2 linked regions of the Tamandua tetradactyla genome follow. The protein of the gene in region 2 interacts with the protein of the main gene of each other region in a pairwise test. Links are inferred from orthologs where the notes say so. Each region holds a gene or a part of one and is shown on either strand. Other genes may lie near its edges.

Region 1 (8,194 bases), on a different chromosome or scaffold from region 2:
CGAATAGGATGGGAAAGGGCAGGTCAAATATTCATCACCACCACCACCACATACCCCTCACAAATACAGCCCGACAGCACTGCTGTCCCATCTATTGGACTTAGCCCCAGGAACTTGGACAAGTGCACATCCCTCACCCACCAGGAGGGAAGCTTGGCATCTCCCACAATGTAGACTGTAGTCTGCTCCCTCGTTTGCTAGGACAGAAGGGAAGGACATGGGGATGCTGAGGCCTAAGGGCCAAGAAGACCAGGGAGCAGGATGGAGGCCCCCTGGCATGTCATAAAAGAGACAGAGGACAGGAGAAACTTGTAAAATGCTACCTTGAGTTCATAATTTTAAGTGGTCCAAGGTCCTGAAAATAATTTCTATTGTAAGGCAAGTGTAGTGAAGCTAAGCTTTGGCTGCCTTAGATCACATCCTACTCTGGGTGTATCCTGAACCCATCACCACTGGGCCTTTCTCTGTCTCCTCCAGCCTTCTCAAACTAAAGCTCAAGAAACACACAGGAGGTTTTGGTGTAATGGATAGGGAAAAGGAGTGGGGCTGTCACTAGCAGCCTATAAGAAAACTGCCCACAGCTAAGCAATTGTCTCCCTTTGATATTTTTAGGCCTTGCTAAAGGAAGTGGCACAAAGGCTTGAGGGGAGAAGAGGATAATAAGAGATCTGAATTCTATTTTACTTTCTCCCTTTGTACATAATCAAGGGGAGAGGCTGCTGTGCCAGTTTTTGTCTGTATGTGTGTTTTTTTCTCCTGTTTCTGAGCTGTAACTGTTTAAAAGAGAAAGAGGCAGAAAAGGTCCTACAGACCAGAAATAACTTCTTCAGTGCCCCATCCTGGCAGCTTAGACATGTTCACAGTAGGTGCAGTAGGGAATGAAGAGAGAACCCCACAAAGTTGCCTAGATTAAGTATGGTTCATTGCTGGGCTCAAAAGGCTTACTGTTGGGAACCATCCCCATTCACCTCCTGCTTTGGGTACTGTCACATATGTTTGCCCCAACCTGCCTGACAGCCAGTGAAGTTTACATATAATCATCTGAGGGGGAGGGAAGTTTTCCTGTGTGCTGGCTCCACAGAGTTCCTGTGAGACAGACAGTGGTGGCTTATGCAAAGCTCATCCAGAAGGCTGAGAACAGGTGGGGATGGATCATAACACAGGCCTTCATAGACTCACCATTAAGCTGGTCACGATGCACTGACTGATGGCAAAGGAAAACCAACATGGTAACACACAACCCTTCTCATTCATTACCTCAGTCATGCCTACCAGTCACTCATCAGCAACCTGTCTGTTCTGCCAGATAACCAGCAAGGTGGACAGTGTGGGCCAGTGAGACAGAAGGGATCCAGCAGTGGTAGTCTGGAATGTCCCGTTTGGGGAGATAGCTGACATCATCTATATCAGCTTCATTTTTGCAGCGGCGAAACTCAAAGAGCTCGCGTGGGTATCACAACACAGCCATCATAAGATACGAAGCCCAGCTAGTTGTTTGCAAAGATGTTATCAAGCTTCCCTGGCTGGCTGGTTGATAACCACATAAGGCAGTGCATATCTACAGCATCGTGTCCTTGGCATAGAAGCAGTGGCAGGCAATGCACTTGGAACATGTAACACACTGCAGAATAGCATGAAGACTAAGAGGAAGCAAAAGAGCAGTCATGTGGGTGATAACCTCGCAAGTGCGTGTTGAGGATCTAGAAAAATTAAAGGACAAAATCCTGTACGATGAGAAAGCAGATGAAATACTGCATGCTGTTGGCCAAGCACAGGTCCAAGAGGTGATGGTAAGGAAACTTGTGCAGGAGCTTCTCACAAAGGCAGGACTTAGCCAGACTGGAATCTGAAGGACATCGGGTTCTCCACTGGCTGTCTTGCTGGGCCTCTCATTCCTCTGCGGGCCCCTTCACCCATCAGGTAGTATTGCAGGGGATTGGGCCACAGTTCATCCTTGATGATCTCAGCAATCTTGTCGAATTCTAGGAGATTGTGGTCTGAGAACCAATCGAAAAAACTGTGGATACTGTTTCCCTGCCGGTTCTTGTGGATATGGGACTGGGGGTCTTGGCCCCGGTGCCATCGGATTGGGGTGGCAAGAGATACCACGCGGCCAGAGGATCTGCGCTCATATTCCTTGACGAGGCCCTCATTTCGGAAGTAGGGGTTACCCTGAAAGATGAACTTGAACTTGCAGCCTGCTCTGGGATGTTTAAGCTCCTCCACCTCCAAATTGGTCATGAACTTAAGCATGTCTTCATCTTGGCCACTGATCATGGGTGAAAGCTGGGGGTGATTCCGAAAGGCGGTGACCCAGAAATTTGGGATATTCTGGATAATGAAACTCCTGCGCTGCATATGGAGCCTTCGCATCCGGCCAAACTTGCGCTCCAGCTGAAGGAAGGCCCTGTCAGCCTGGGCATTAACATTTGACAGCTCCTGATCGATGGCCTCCAGTGAGTCCATGCAATTATTCTCCTTCGGGACCCTGGGCCCATTCTTCTCTTTCACATCTTCTGCCACCTTTTTCTCCTTCGGAGCCACCTTCTTTTCCTCCACCACCTCCTTTGCTTCTCCCTGGCCCTTGACCGCAGCCGCGGAGGTGGCACCCTTTTTAGTCGTCGCTTCCTTTGCCTTCGCCCCAGCCATCATCTGAGCCCTACAGCCCACTGCGCCACACCCCACTGCGCCACAGGCTTCCGGGCCCTTCTTCCCACCAGGACCCCGCGGCTCTCCGCCCTGACCGCCATTTTTCTGGCTGCTGCCATTTGCCACCGAGGCAGAGGCTGCTTCAGAGCGCCCGGATTCCTGCCCGGTTTTGGTAGGTGCATGGCTGCGGCTCCCGGCAACTCGGAAACGGAGCGCGAAACCGCACTCCGCAGAGTCGCGGGATGCGCCCCCCTCCGCCGCGGCCTCCAAGCTGCCCCTGCCCATCTCCGCCATCACCTGTATGGCCTTGGCTTCTTCACAGATCCTCCGGCACTGCTGTTGGTCCGGCTCCCCCGCGGCACGGTTGGAGGTAGAGAGGCCGCGAGGTCTAGGAACAGGAAATTTATTGCCTCCATCCAGACCGCTCATTTTGGCAGAAGTGAGACCACCACGAGAAGAAGAATGGAGGAGAACGTCCTTTCTCTTCGGTGGAAGCGGCTACCGCAATGGCCACTCGCACCACCCCCTTGTTCGTGCTGGCTGACGTTGCCATGGCAACCGGTGCCGTCAAGACTGCGGCATCCTAACACCGCGAGATCTCGCGCCACCTGGTGATTTCGCGCCACCTGGTGATTTCGCTTGTCATCCCAGCGTATTCCTTTGTCTTCTTTTCACAAAATGTTATTGAGTTTAAACAGTCTGGACAAGAGCTTTAACTTGCAGAAATGTATGTTGGCCAAATTCAGGCCTGTGAGAACCGTGTTGATGAGGATTCCTGTGGCTCTGAATGAAGACCTCAGTGCTTCTCATGAGTAAATAATGGATACAGCCACTAGGAGGCCTTCCTTCTTCAATGTACGGCTTCCTGGCGAAGACCCAAGACTTTAGATAAGCAGAGTTTGATTTTTAAGGAAATCAAGTGTCGTAATGTTAAATGTGATAACATGCAAGATTAGGAGCAGCAGCTATGGAGAGATAATTAACGAGTTATTTAAACTTGTCTTACAGAATTTAAAGATGATGTACTTTGGCCAAAGTCTAGAAGCAATTGGTCAGCATTTCCTCTTTATTTTTAACTAATATGAGTAGCAAAATGTTGTCTTTTCTTTACTTAGAGATGACACCCACACACACATGCAGGCAAATTTAAACATTACTGAAAGAAATTACATCTCGGGAATTTAATCTCTACAATGATGCATAATATCTTGCTTATCATATGGTTATAATCTTTATATGAAGGTAGTTCTTGCTGTATAATCAATGTGGGCATGAAGACAGCAAATATTTGCCAGGTTTGTTTCTGTGATAATTAACTGCAAGGCAGAGGCAATAATCAGCTATGTGTGGTCGCCTAAACTATTAGTCAATCCTGTTTTAATCAGTTAACTTATAGTATTCATTTGATAGTGATGTCACTACTATTTTTTATCTGTGTTAGCTTGTTGGCTGTGAATATACTGGCATTAATCCTTAGAAAAATGCAAACCAGAAAAAAAATTAAATTTTGCTTATTTATGCTTAACGTCTTAAATTCATATTTGAGAAATGATTATGATTATAATTTTTTATAATAGAAGCTCCCCACAGAAAGACCGGAGATTATAATCTCTTTCAAATAAGGGCTCAAAAGTGGATCCAGTAAGAAGTAGGGATTCACTTATCTGGAGACTTCTACTGAGGGAAGTAGGGCAGACCTGGTCTGCCTCAATATGAGATGCTGATGGACAGACACTTGTCACTGAGCTCTGGGGTTAACTATAGAGGTTTTTCAGAGAATTTTAAATAATTGAGATTTTTTTCAACTTCTACTCAAAAGGTGTGCCTTCTCAAAGGCACTGACCTCTTCATTGGCTATTAGCTAGTCAGTTATCCCATAAATGTGCAAATAAGATTCACTCTTCCCAGACTGCAGTTATTTTTTCTTGTAACCCAAGCCAAGATGCAGAGAAGCAAATGCTGAAGGAAAGCTAATTTTCCAGGAGTGGGGAGGAAGGTGCGGTGCTGGAGGTGAGGGGGTGCTGGGGGAGTGGAAAATGTGTTTGCTATTTGCAAAAGAAAATTATACAATTACATAGGGCTGATATCTTAGAACTTTTTTTTACTTGACATACCTTCCAAAATTTTAAAAAGCTGTATATGGCTGCTACTTGAAACATCCTGCCTCTGTGATTATTCCTGTCACCTGTATCATATTCCACTTTCATAAAAGTTTGCTCATTTTTAAAACTCAGCTTGTCTACCTCTTGTAAATTGCAGTAGGCATTTTTAATGCATTAATATAAATGTCAAGGCCCCAGAAATTTCAGAGAAGTCATCTTGCCTGTGATCCTTGTAAAGATTAATTTTATGTGCCAGTTTGACCAGGTTATGGTGTCCAGTGTTTGGCCAAACACTGGCCTAGATGTTATTGTGGAGAGGTATTTTGTAAATGTGATTAGCATCTACAGTCAGCTGGCTTTTAGTAAAGGAGATTACCTTGACTCTGTGGGTGGGTCCAATCAGTTGGAGCCTTAAGAGCAAAGAACTGTAGGTTCCAAACAAAGAAATTCTTTCTCACAACTATGCAATTCACAAGTACACAAGTCCCCTTGGAATTTCTAGCTGCAACCTCCCCACAGGATTTTAACCTCAAGATTTCAACATCGACTCTTACCAGAATTTCCAACCTGCAACTTCTTCTGCATGTTTAGAACTCAAGACCACAACATCACTCTTACTGGAATTTCCAGCCTGTAGACCTGCACTACACACGAGTGATCTCACACTTGCCAGCCCTCACAATTGTGAGCCAATTCATTATATACACACACACACATATGAGAACGGTTGATTCTATTTCTCTGGAGAACTCTGACCATTCAGTCCTATATATAGCCCTGTATAATTCCTAACTTGCCTCTTCCCATCTGCTGAATATAACCTTTCTTAATTACCTTACCATTCTGATGATGCTCTGAATTTTATAGCTCTTTTGACTTTTGTCATTCAATTAAGCTATCCTCAACTTCTTAACTTTCTTGGTTGTTTCATACAGGTCATTCTCTTCATCCCAGCTAGAAAAGTATGGTTGTATTGTGACTTCTTTTTTTAGCATCTAACATAGTATAGCCCAGTAACTATCTCATAGAAGGTTTTAATGAAACTTGATGATTTAACTCAAAAATTTAAAAGGTTTTGCAAATATGAGCACTATGACTTTACTGGTGACCTAGTTTATAAGAGCTGCCAGAATACAATATACCAGAAATGGAATGGCTTTTAAAAGGGGGAATTTATTAAATTGCAACTTTATAGTTCTAAGACTGTGAAAATGTCCAACTTACGGCAAGGTTATAATAATGTCCAAACTAAGGCATCCAGGAAAATGTACCTTGGCTCAAGAAGGCTGATGATTTTCAAGGTTTCTCTCTCAGCTGAAAAGGTACATGACAATGTCTGCTAGCTTACTCTCCTGGCTTCTCGTTTCATAAGGATTCCTCAGGGGCATTTTCCTTTGGCATCTCCAAAGGTCTCTGACTTTTTGGGCTCTGTTGGTTCTGTTGGCTCTAAGCATTTTTCAAAATGGTTCCCTTTTAAAGGGCTCTAGTAAGCAACCCCACCTTGAATAGGTGGAGACACATCTCCATGGAAACCATCTTATCAAAATTACCACCCACAATTGGGTGGGTCATAGCTCTATAAAAGCAATCAAAAAGATCCTGCCCAGCAATATCGAATGAGGATTAAAGAAATGGCTTTTCTCGAGTACATAATAGCTTCAAAATGACAAAACTGGTATTTCATTTTGAGTTGAATGGATGTTGTAACTATGAACCATATTTTACATTTTCGTTTCTTAAAATATAGGATATTTTTGCACACAGTAAACCTGTTCTACTGGCAATTGGCGTAAATCTCGTTACATAGAAAAAGAAACATCAATAGGATATGATTCTATGGAAAAACAGCCACAGAAAATGCCATGAAAATCTATGAGGTAATTTTCATTTGCCAGAACAAGGAATTAAGCAGAATTTCAAACATAATTTAATACAGAACATAAAAACGACTTTACTGAACTGTACAGTGACTACTGGAAAATTTATGAAATACCTCCTATTGTTAGTCTTTTGAACTATAGTTTGTTTTTCAGAATATGTTTATATCATGATTATATAGTCATTATTATATATGATTATATATGAATTATATAATTATTACATATTCATTATTGCTTGTATGTATTTAGTGCTTTCTATACATCAGACACTTAAATGCACTTACCACGGGTGTTATCTCACTTACCCTTCACAATAACCTTGTGAAGTAATAATCTTATGACTTCCATTTTACTTTGCCTTAGAAGGAACTGAGACAAAGAGAAAGAGAGTGACTTATTCAGTCACACAAGTGGTGAAGCCAAGATTTGAACCCAGATAATCTGACTCAAGAGACTGCACTCTCATTCATTGTACTATTCTGCAACACTGTATAATCTATAAAAATGAGAAGGCACTCTCCTAGGAATATAACCAAATGACCATCCAAACATAGCGTTATATTTTCTCCTTTATCTTTCTGCCCCTCTCTCCATTCACAAAGATAGTGATCATTGTTGGGGGCATGACCAATTACTAAAAGGAGAGGTAATAATTCATAATCCTCCAGCTCAATATCTTAAGTCAGTGGTTCTCAATCCATAAAATATGTTTCTTTTTATAACAATTGTTTTGAAATGCTTTAGTTGCTTGAAATTCACATGTAGTATAACATGCCATCATACACAACTTAAAAAATAATCAATGTCCTCTTACTTGTATTAAAGGAGAAATAAAAGTTAAAATTTAAAATATCTATTTCAATATGTAACTGTCTAGACATGTCTACACTGTATGACATATGTAGTTAGATGGTTATACCTATAGAATCACCCATGTATGATACAATTAATTGATGCAACCTGATTTAGATATATTATACCAGAAACATAAGCAGCAATGCTTCTGAAAGTTTTCTGAAATGGTGAGCAACTTTATGATAAAGTTCTGGAAAAAAGGACAAAATTTCCCCAATTTGCATGGTGTTTATCTCTTCAATTCTAAGCCATATGTTTTTTTCACTTTTTAACATCTGACTAGTATGTATGTAGGTAATATGCATATATTTATGATGATGTATCATAAAATTAAAGACATTTTAACAATTGTTGTCAACCTGACAGCTGTCATAGTGTACTTGGCATTGCCTCCTGCACACATGCTAACTTGGTTGTTAGTCCTGCCAGCAGGACTGGACAACTGAAATAGCTTACTCTTTAAGAGCCATTTAAGAAAGGAAATTGGGTATCATTTGTTGTCTGAAAACCTTCTGTAATATCTTCTGGTAAGATATCTTTTGGTAAGAAAGCCCCAGCCACAAAATTTGCAGAAGAGGTGTTAGTGTGTGGTAGACTGAATTATGTATCCTAGTTTAGACATATTCTTAATCCGTATTCCTGTGGGTGTGAACTAGTTATAAATGGAGACATGGTCCAACTGAATGATGGTGGATCTTAATCTGGATT
Region 2 (7,941 bases):
AAAAAACAACGCAGATATTACACTCCAAACAGCAAGAGACCTGGGCAAGGCTGCTAAGTTTCCAGGGCTTGCAGCCCAGCAGGCAGATAAACACACACACAGCAGTTAATGTGGCTGTGAGCAAGCACATAGAAAGCATAGAAGCCATAAAATAATAAACATATGGGAGGTAAAAAAAAAAAAAAGATTATTTGGATGTCAAGGGTAAGCCTTCTTTTTATGGCTATTGCATGAGGATAAATAGTGGGCGTTCTAGCCTAGAGTGGGGTGTGGTCCAGAAGGACTTTGGAAGAGAGCAGAGACTACAGGGTGGGGGTTCTAGATGTGCTGCGTAAGTGGGGAGAAAGTGGGAATCAGGACAAAGACCGAGGAAGGAAGAGACATGGGCTAGTGTGGCTGAGCAGAACGAATGGGGCAGGCAGCCATGTAGGGGAAATAAAGTCACGTCACACAGCAAACAAGAATGCAGGCTGAGGAGCCAGACAGGCCTGGGTTTGAATCCCAGCCCCCGCCAATTAGCAGCTCTATGACCTTGGACAAGTTACTTAATTACTCAGCTTTGGCTTCCTTGTCTTTAAAAGCGGGCTAATAATAGTACTCACATTATAAGGTTGTTGGAAGGATCAACTTAGATAAGGCTTGTAAAACATTAAGTTCTACACCCGCACGGCACGTGGTCATCCCTTAACAAGCAATTTAACAACATCCATAACAAGCAGGCTGCATCCATAGCACCCTGGGGCTCTGTGCTTCCTAAACAAAGCTGGCATAGCTGGCTGGGTCCCTGCCCACCTCCCTACATGTGCTGCTCTTCTCCCAGGCAGTGTCCCACCTGCTAAATCAGCAGCAAATTGAGAGATTCACAGCAAGGAATATCCCACATTCTATCCTGCCTCCTTCCAGATGCTGGGAGCCCCGAGGGCCACAGCTCCCCATCCCACCCACCCCTATGCAGGCAGAGCCAATGCCCTGATGCCAGACCATTGGGTCTGACGTGCCCCCAGGCCCCTGAGGTTCCCTGTGGCTTTGTAGGGTGCTCCCCGTGGCCCACTCTCCTGCGCTCTCTTGGGGTGGCCTCCCTGGGGCCAGCAGCTGAGCAGAAATGTCCTTTGCCATCCTTCTGTCCCACCTGGGTCACAGGAGCTGAAGGTAGGGGTGGAACGCCAGTGGTCTCTGCCTCCACCCATTCACCAGGGCCGGGTCTTCTAGAGCCACCCTGACCTGCTCTGCCCGGCCTATGGGTTCAAGGAGGAGAGATCCACCTTGAGGGTGGGGCAGGGTCATATTTCTTGGGATGCCCCAGAATGTAGGGAACACATAGTTGGAGTCCAGTAAGTGTTTGTTTAATCACTGGGGAGCCTGAGCAATTCTTGCGGCCTGAGTCAGGACTCTAAGACAGGAGCCAAATTCCCATGAGAGAACATGAAGAGGCCCTTGGTTCTGCCCTGTGAGCCGTTTTCAAGGAAGCTGAGTAAAGAAGTTACTGTCAACCCATTCTATAATAATAATAATGATTATTATTATATATATGATTTGTTTAAATGTTTTTTATTGTTAAATATAACATATACACAAAGAAAAGAAAGAAAAAGCAATGATTTTCAAAGTACACTTCAAGAAGTAGATGCAGAACAGATTTCAGAGTTTGTTATGGGTTACCATTCCACTATTTCAGATTTTTCCTTCTAGCTGCTCCCAAACTTTGGAGTCTAGAAGGAAGTTTTTTCTTTTCTGTGAAAAGTAACACATATACAAAAAAGCCATAAATTTCAAAGCACATCGCAACAATTAGTTGTAGAACAGATTTCATAGTTTGGTATGTGTTACAATTCCACCATTTTAGGCTTTTGCTTCTAGCTGCCCTAAGATACTGGAGACTAAAAGAAATATCAGTATAATGATTCAGCACTCATACTTGTTTGTTAAACCCGACCTTCTCCGCATAACTCCACCATCACCTTTGATCTTTCTCCCACTCTTTAGGGTATTTGGGCTATGCCTGTATAATGTTTAATATATATGAGTAAAAAATTATAAGAAAAAAAGGTCTAAAGTATCTTGTGAAGTATACAGAGCTACATACACCTAGTATATTTATGTATTTAATTCTATAAGCAGAAATACCTTTAATTGGTCAGCAGAGGTATCTCCATGCTATTGTTGAGGAAACTGTGGCTATGAGAAAGGTTGTGGAAATGGTCTAAGAGCTCACTGGGTAGGAGTCTATGTCTCCCCACTGTTGTATCACACCATACAGTTAAAAAAAAAATGTACTGGGTCCCAAAATTTGGGCTGCAGGGGCTGGACATGTGAAAGAATCAGGCAGAGCCTCTGGGAGGAGCTAGCCTGAAAGGGGAGCAATGGTCTACCCAGGACTGTGAGATCCTGGGGGGAGGGGGAGTGTGGAGATGTACTGTTCCCAACCTCTCTTCTCACTCGACCCCCCTCTGGGCCAGGCTCCTCTCCTCCCTGGGCTTCAGCCACTGCTTGGATCACAGATCGGCCAGCCTGTGACTCTCCAAAGCTCTCCCTCCAGCCCCTGAACTCCAGAGCTGTGGACGCCATTGCCTGCCGCAGACATTCTACCTGGCAGTCTCTGAGCACCACCAACCCACCCCCAGGTTTGAGGCTGAGATCCCCTCCCCAACACCTGCTCTGCACCCTGTATCCCTGTCTCAGACGGTAGCACTCCACCCAACAGAAGCTGTCATCCTTGGGGTCTCTCTCCCCTAATGTACCCAGCCAGTAAATTGCCAAGTGCTGTGCATTTTTCTCCCTAACAGCTTTCAAATCCAGCCTCCCTCCTCCTTCTCGTGGCTTCTGTCCCATTTGAGGCCCCAACCTCTCCCAGATAACCTCCTAAGCAGACAATGTCCCTGACTTCAGTTTTATCTCCCTTGAATCCATCTTCCTTGCAGTCATTAGAAAGATCTAAGATGCAAATCTATACAGGTCTCTCCCTGCTTCAAAGACTTAAAACCCTTCTGGGGTTCCTTTCTGCAGGGCGAAGTCCAAGTTCCTTAAGGAAACCCCCTAAGATTTGACCCTTCCACCTTCACAGACTCATCTCAGGCCACACTCCCTGCCTCAAAACTTTTACTATGGGGAAGTTGGCCTGCCCATAGAGCTGCTTCAAGAGCCTGAGACCGGTGCAGTTGCATGGGGCCCAATGTGCAAATGGACCCCACGCTTGCTTTACTGAGCAGCTGTGGCTGTCTTGAATTTCTTAGTAATTTTTGAACAAAGGTCCCGCATTTTCATTTTGCCCTGGGCCTCACCAATTACGCTGTTCCCTGAATCCCTCTTGCAGTTTCTGGCCTCCAAAGCTTTGTGCAGTCTCCCCACTGAAACACTCCTGCTTACAATGCCCCCCTTTCTACAGCTCTGCCTTTAAGATCACACTTAGGTGTTATCTGTGTAATGCCTCCCTGACCATCCTCCCTCCCTCTCCAGAGCACCAATCACCTAATCACAAATTGAGCACTGATAAATTGAAAGGGAAAACAGCCCGACAAGTGCCCCAAGAGAGTTACAAACTATTATTGATGGTAAAGAGAGGCAAAGAGGCAAGTTGGCTTTAACATTTTTTTTTCCTAGCTCTCCATCTCTAGGGTAAATTCCAAATATCTTAGCTTGGTTTATCAGTCCGGATTGGCTAAGTTATGCTGCAGTAACAAATTATCCCCAAATCCTAATGGCTTAATACATGGTAAGTTTATTTCTTGCTCACTGTACATATCCAATGCATGCTAGCACGGGCCCTGCCCCACATGGCCTTTCATGGGCCCAGGCTGATGCAAGCTCCAATGATATCGATCCAATGCTGGGTTCCCTGCCTGATGTGCATAACAGCTGATCCCTGACAAAGGGGACTCAAAAAGTCTACCGCTAGGCGGTGCCACGGTGGCTCAGTGGCAAGAATTCTCGACTGCCAAACTGGAGATCCAGGTTTGATTCCTGGAACCTGCCCATGCAAAAAGAAAAAAAAAAGTCTATTGCTACATGGAAAGCAGGAGATCAGATGGCCTATTGGCCCAAAAATCTGTCTCCCCGGGTCTAAGGAGTTCAGGGAGTTTATGGATTCAACCAAGGGAGCTGTTACCATTACAATATCAAGTATAAAAGCAGGGCTGAGACTAGGCTATAATAAGCATTACAATAGTGAGTATTCACAGGGCTGAGACTAGTTGAGTTTCAGTAATTTCAGGTATTAACTTTCAGCTGTTCTACAATATAAAAAGAAAACATCTATATAATGATTCAGTAATCATAATCATTTGTTAATTCTTAATTTCTCCTTTACACCAGCATCTTGGAGCATGTAACCTCGTTGGTCTCTGGAGCGAGGCAAGAAAGCTAAGGGAGAACTCACACTGCCTCTAATGTGCTTTAGCCCCGAACTGACATATGCGCCTTCCGCTTACAGCCCATTGGCTCCCTCCAACTGGAAGAAGACTGGAAAACGAGGGGCGAACATGGATATTTGGTGAGCAGTAACTATCTGTCATACACGACATACAAGACCTTTTGTGATCTACAAGAAAGAAGGATTTTTAATGCCCGTGGAAAACGCCCTCCAGGTTGACGCTGGGACCCTGCATGCGGACTGCGGGGAGGTGACAGCTCCGCGTTGTCCCGGGGTGGAGACTGCGGTTACCGTCCCTCCAGCGCCCCCTGCCGCGATCGCGCCACGGCTACAGCCCCTTCCCAGGCTCCGCCTTCCCATTCCCCGGCCTGAGCCCGCCTTGCTCCTCCCATTGGCTGTCTCCCGTTCTCCCGCCTCTCTCGGTGCAGCCAATCGGAGCCTGGGTGGGGGTGGGGCTTGCGGCCGGGGAGGAGCGTACGCCTCGATTGGCTCATTGGCTCTGCCGAAGGTGGAGACGTAGTCGAAGGAGGCCAGTTCGTGTCTAACTTAGACTCAGCCACCTCAGCGCAGGATTGGTGGTAGGGCGGGGCGGGCTTGGGTCCCCCGGCCGGAAGCGGAAGTAGAGGAAAGATGCAGGTGGGAGTACGGAGGTGGGAAAAGGGGGTGCTGACCTGGGACCCCTGGGCGGTGTCCTGCCGGTCCGTTGCCGACCGGCTATCTCGGCCTCGCCCCCGGGGCAGCCCTTCCTGGCCCTTCGATTTGGCCCCGCAGGGTGACTGTGGGGACTGTGAAATGAGCGCGCGAGTGTCGCACCCCCGGCCCGCGCTGACGCTCCCCTTCCTCCGGTGTTTCCCTCTTAGGACCATCAGGACGTGCCCATCGACATCCAGACCAGCAAGCTGCTCGGTAGGAGGGGGAGCCCTCGCTCAGCTGGCTGTCAGAAGGGGGGCCCGATTCTTTGTCCCCTGTCGCCAAGAGCCAGGAGTCTTGATGCCTGAAGGTCCGGGTTGAGGCATTTGTCTCTCGCCATGTGCCTCATCTGTGGCTGGACCTGTCTCGCTAAGAGAAGGGGGGATAGAATCGAACGTAGAATCTGTACTTCACCTGCCTTTTCTATATTAACATTTAAACGTGTTATCAAGTCATATCATTTAAGTGTAGGGAGGCTATATGACTTACTTTAAAGACATTCGACTGCCAAGTGACCTCCCCGAGATTGGAACTTAAGTGTCTCTAATGGCCACGCTTTCTCAGATATGCCATTCTTACTAGCTTCCATCTCCCTGTGATTTTAGGGGGATTAGGGAAACAAAAATTAGTTGGAAATAAAGACCTTTAATTAGCTAGGCCATCTCCCAACCGCCTCTCTCTGGTTTATGTACCTCTTCCCCAGTTCCGAGTAGGGGAAGGGTCTCTTTATTCTGACCACTCCAGGGTATTTGCACAGCTTCTGCTGTTGTTCATTGCTCAGTGAATTAATGGATACAGTGCCAGTCTTATCATTAAGGTGGTGTCAGGCCTTTGCTTTTAGTTCTGTGAGTGTGGGACCACAGTATTTGATGAGTTGGCAGATTTTAGGGCCATCTACTAAGACCTGTGCAGTGGCCTATAGAAGAGCTTCTTTAGCCTCACTTCAGATTTGTTCTGACTCTTTTGTACAAGTGCACTCTTGCTGTGTGAGCTCATCGTTGGTTATGAAAAGGACAAATAAAACAGTATCATTAATTGAGGGCTTGATGTATGCCAGACACTGTTTTAGGCATTTACTGTTATAAAAATAAGGATCACTGAGGTTTACTGAGTCCTTGCCAGGTGTCAGGCACAGTCCAGGCTTTATTTGGACTCAGTACCTTATTCTCTCCATTTTACATGTGGGGAAACTGAGGCAAAGAGAGGTTGAGAAACTAGCCCAAGAAACTGTGGAAGCCAGACCCATCTGATCATAAAGCCTAGCTCTTAGCTCTCTCCCATTGAAGACTGGTGTGCACAGCTCAGTCCACCCATACCTCTTATGAAAAGCACAGGTCTAAGCCTAGATTCTGGAAGGTCAGGCCTGTTGACATTTATATATATGGGACAGTACTTCACTGTTGAGACTAGACCAGTGTTATCTAGTTCTTAGGTATTAGGGGCTTTACAGATGGTCATTCATCTGGAACTTGGCATAACCATCTTGTGTTTTGCATTGTTGTGGTTAATTCCATCCCTGAGAAAGTGGAATGACTACCCATGGAAGCAGAAATACTATGGAGAATTTAAGTGGTCAAACTGGCGCTTTTATATCAGGACCAATTTAAAATTTTCTGTCTCTCTGTGTTGAGGCACATGCTCTATAAAAATCACACTGAAGACAAAATCAGGTTGCCAGGGTTTGTTTAGCCCCAAGCATCCCTTTGGATCTGTCTTTCCAACCATATTCCCCTGACCCCCAATCCTTAAACAGGATGAAGAAAATCTAGCTCTTGTCTCAGCCTATCTCATTTGGTGCTGGGAGTGGGGCTGCAATGATTTGGGTGTTTCTCGATAGACTGGCTGGTGGACAGAAGACATTGCAACCTGCGATGGCAGAGGCTGGTGCTGACGATCCGAGAGAAGATCAACGCTGCCATCCAGGACATGCCGGAGAGCGAGGAGATTGCCCAGCTGCTCTCTGGCTCCTGTGAGTGCTTCAGTACTGTTACCGGGGTCTCCCCTCTCCCAGAGCTGTCTGTATCAGCTGAGCCATTCTCTTGTTGTTTAGCTCCTGGGCTGACCCCTAGAGAGATATTTTGTTTTTTTAATTTATTTATTTATTAATTAAAAAAAAATTTAACAACAAACAAAAACATTAACATATGATCATTCCATTCTACATATATAATCAGTAATTCACAATATCATCACATAGTTGCATATTCTTTATTTCTTAGAACATTTGCATCAATTCAGAAAAAGAAATAAAAAGACAACAGAAAACGAAATAAAACAAAAACAGAAAAAAAAAAGATTATACATACCATACACCTTACCCCTCACTTTCATTGATCACTAGCATTTCAAACTAAATTTATTTTAACATTTGTTCCCCCTATTATTTATTTTTATTACATATGTTTTACTTGTCTGTTGACAAGGTAGATAAAAGGAGCATCAGACACAAGGTTTTCACAATCACACAGTCACACAGCTACATCATTATACAATCATCATCAAGAAACATGGCTACTGGAACACAGTAGAGAGACATTTTTATTTGAGGGTGTCAGTGCTGGTTTCTTCCAGCACCATATGATGACGGGAGAGTCGACCACATGCCAACGGCACTGTAATTCTCAATGTCTTCACTCTTCCTTGATTTCCAGACATCCATTATTTCCACTGCCTAAGAATCGTGGACCTTCTCAAAGGCACTGAGGCCTCCACGAAAAATATTTTTGGGTGGTACTCTTCACAGCGAATGCAGGCAAGTATGGGCTGAGGACTGGTGATGTGCCTCCAGCCTGCAGGGTTAGAGCCTTTCTCATTTCTCTGAGGATCCAGTGGGAGGCTCCTTTGTAGAATATTTCCTGAGCTTTCTCTCTGTCCCCATAATTTAT

Evidence for each region.
Region 1: the proteins of CDK5RAP3 (region 2) and TSPYL4 interact in binary tests that used the Homo sapiens proteins (3 or more experiments, as listed by UniProt). The two-hybrid records come from large-scale screens. The link is inferred for Tamandua tetradactyla from reciprocal best matches to the Homo sapiens genes CDK5RAP3 and TSPYL4.

What each region holds. Positions count from the first base shown.
Region 1 is NC_135331.1:175,370,392-175,378,585, forward strand, and holds the start of TSPYL4 (testis-specific Y-encoded-like protein 4), read right to left. Parts: upstream 3,211-8,194; 5' UTR 3,079-3,210; coding exon 1,831-3,078; 3' UTR 1-1,830.
Region 2 is NC_135332.1:29,256,407-29,264,347, forward strand, and holds the start of CDK5RAP3 (CDK5 regulatory subunit-associated protein 3), read left to right. Parts: upstream 1-4,876; 5' UTR 4,877-4,996; coding exon 4,997-5,002; intron 5,003-5,226; coding exon 5,227-5,272; intron 5,273-6,893; coding exon 6,894-7,025; intron 7,026-7,707; coding exon 7,708-7,808; intron 7,809-7,941. UniProt on the Homo sapiens protein: Substrate adapter of E3 ligase complexes mediating ufmylation, the covalent attachment of the ubiquitin-like modifier UFM1 to substrate proteins, and which is involved in various processes, such as ribosome recycling and reticulophagy (also called ER-phagy).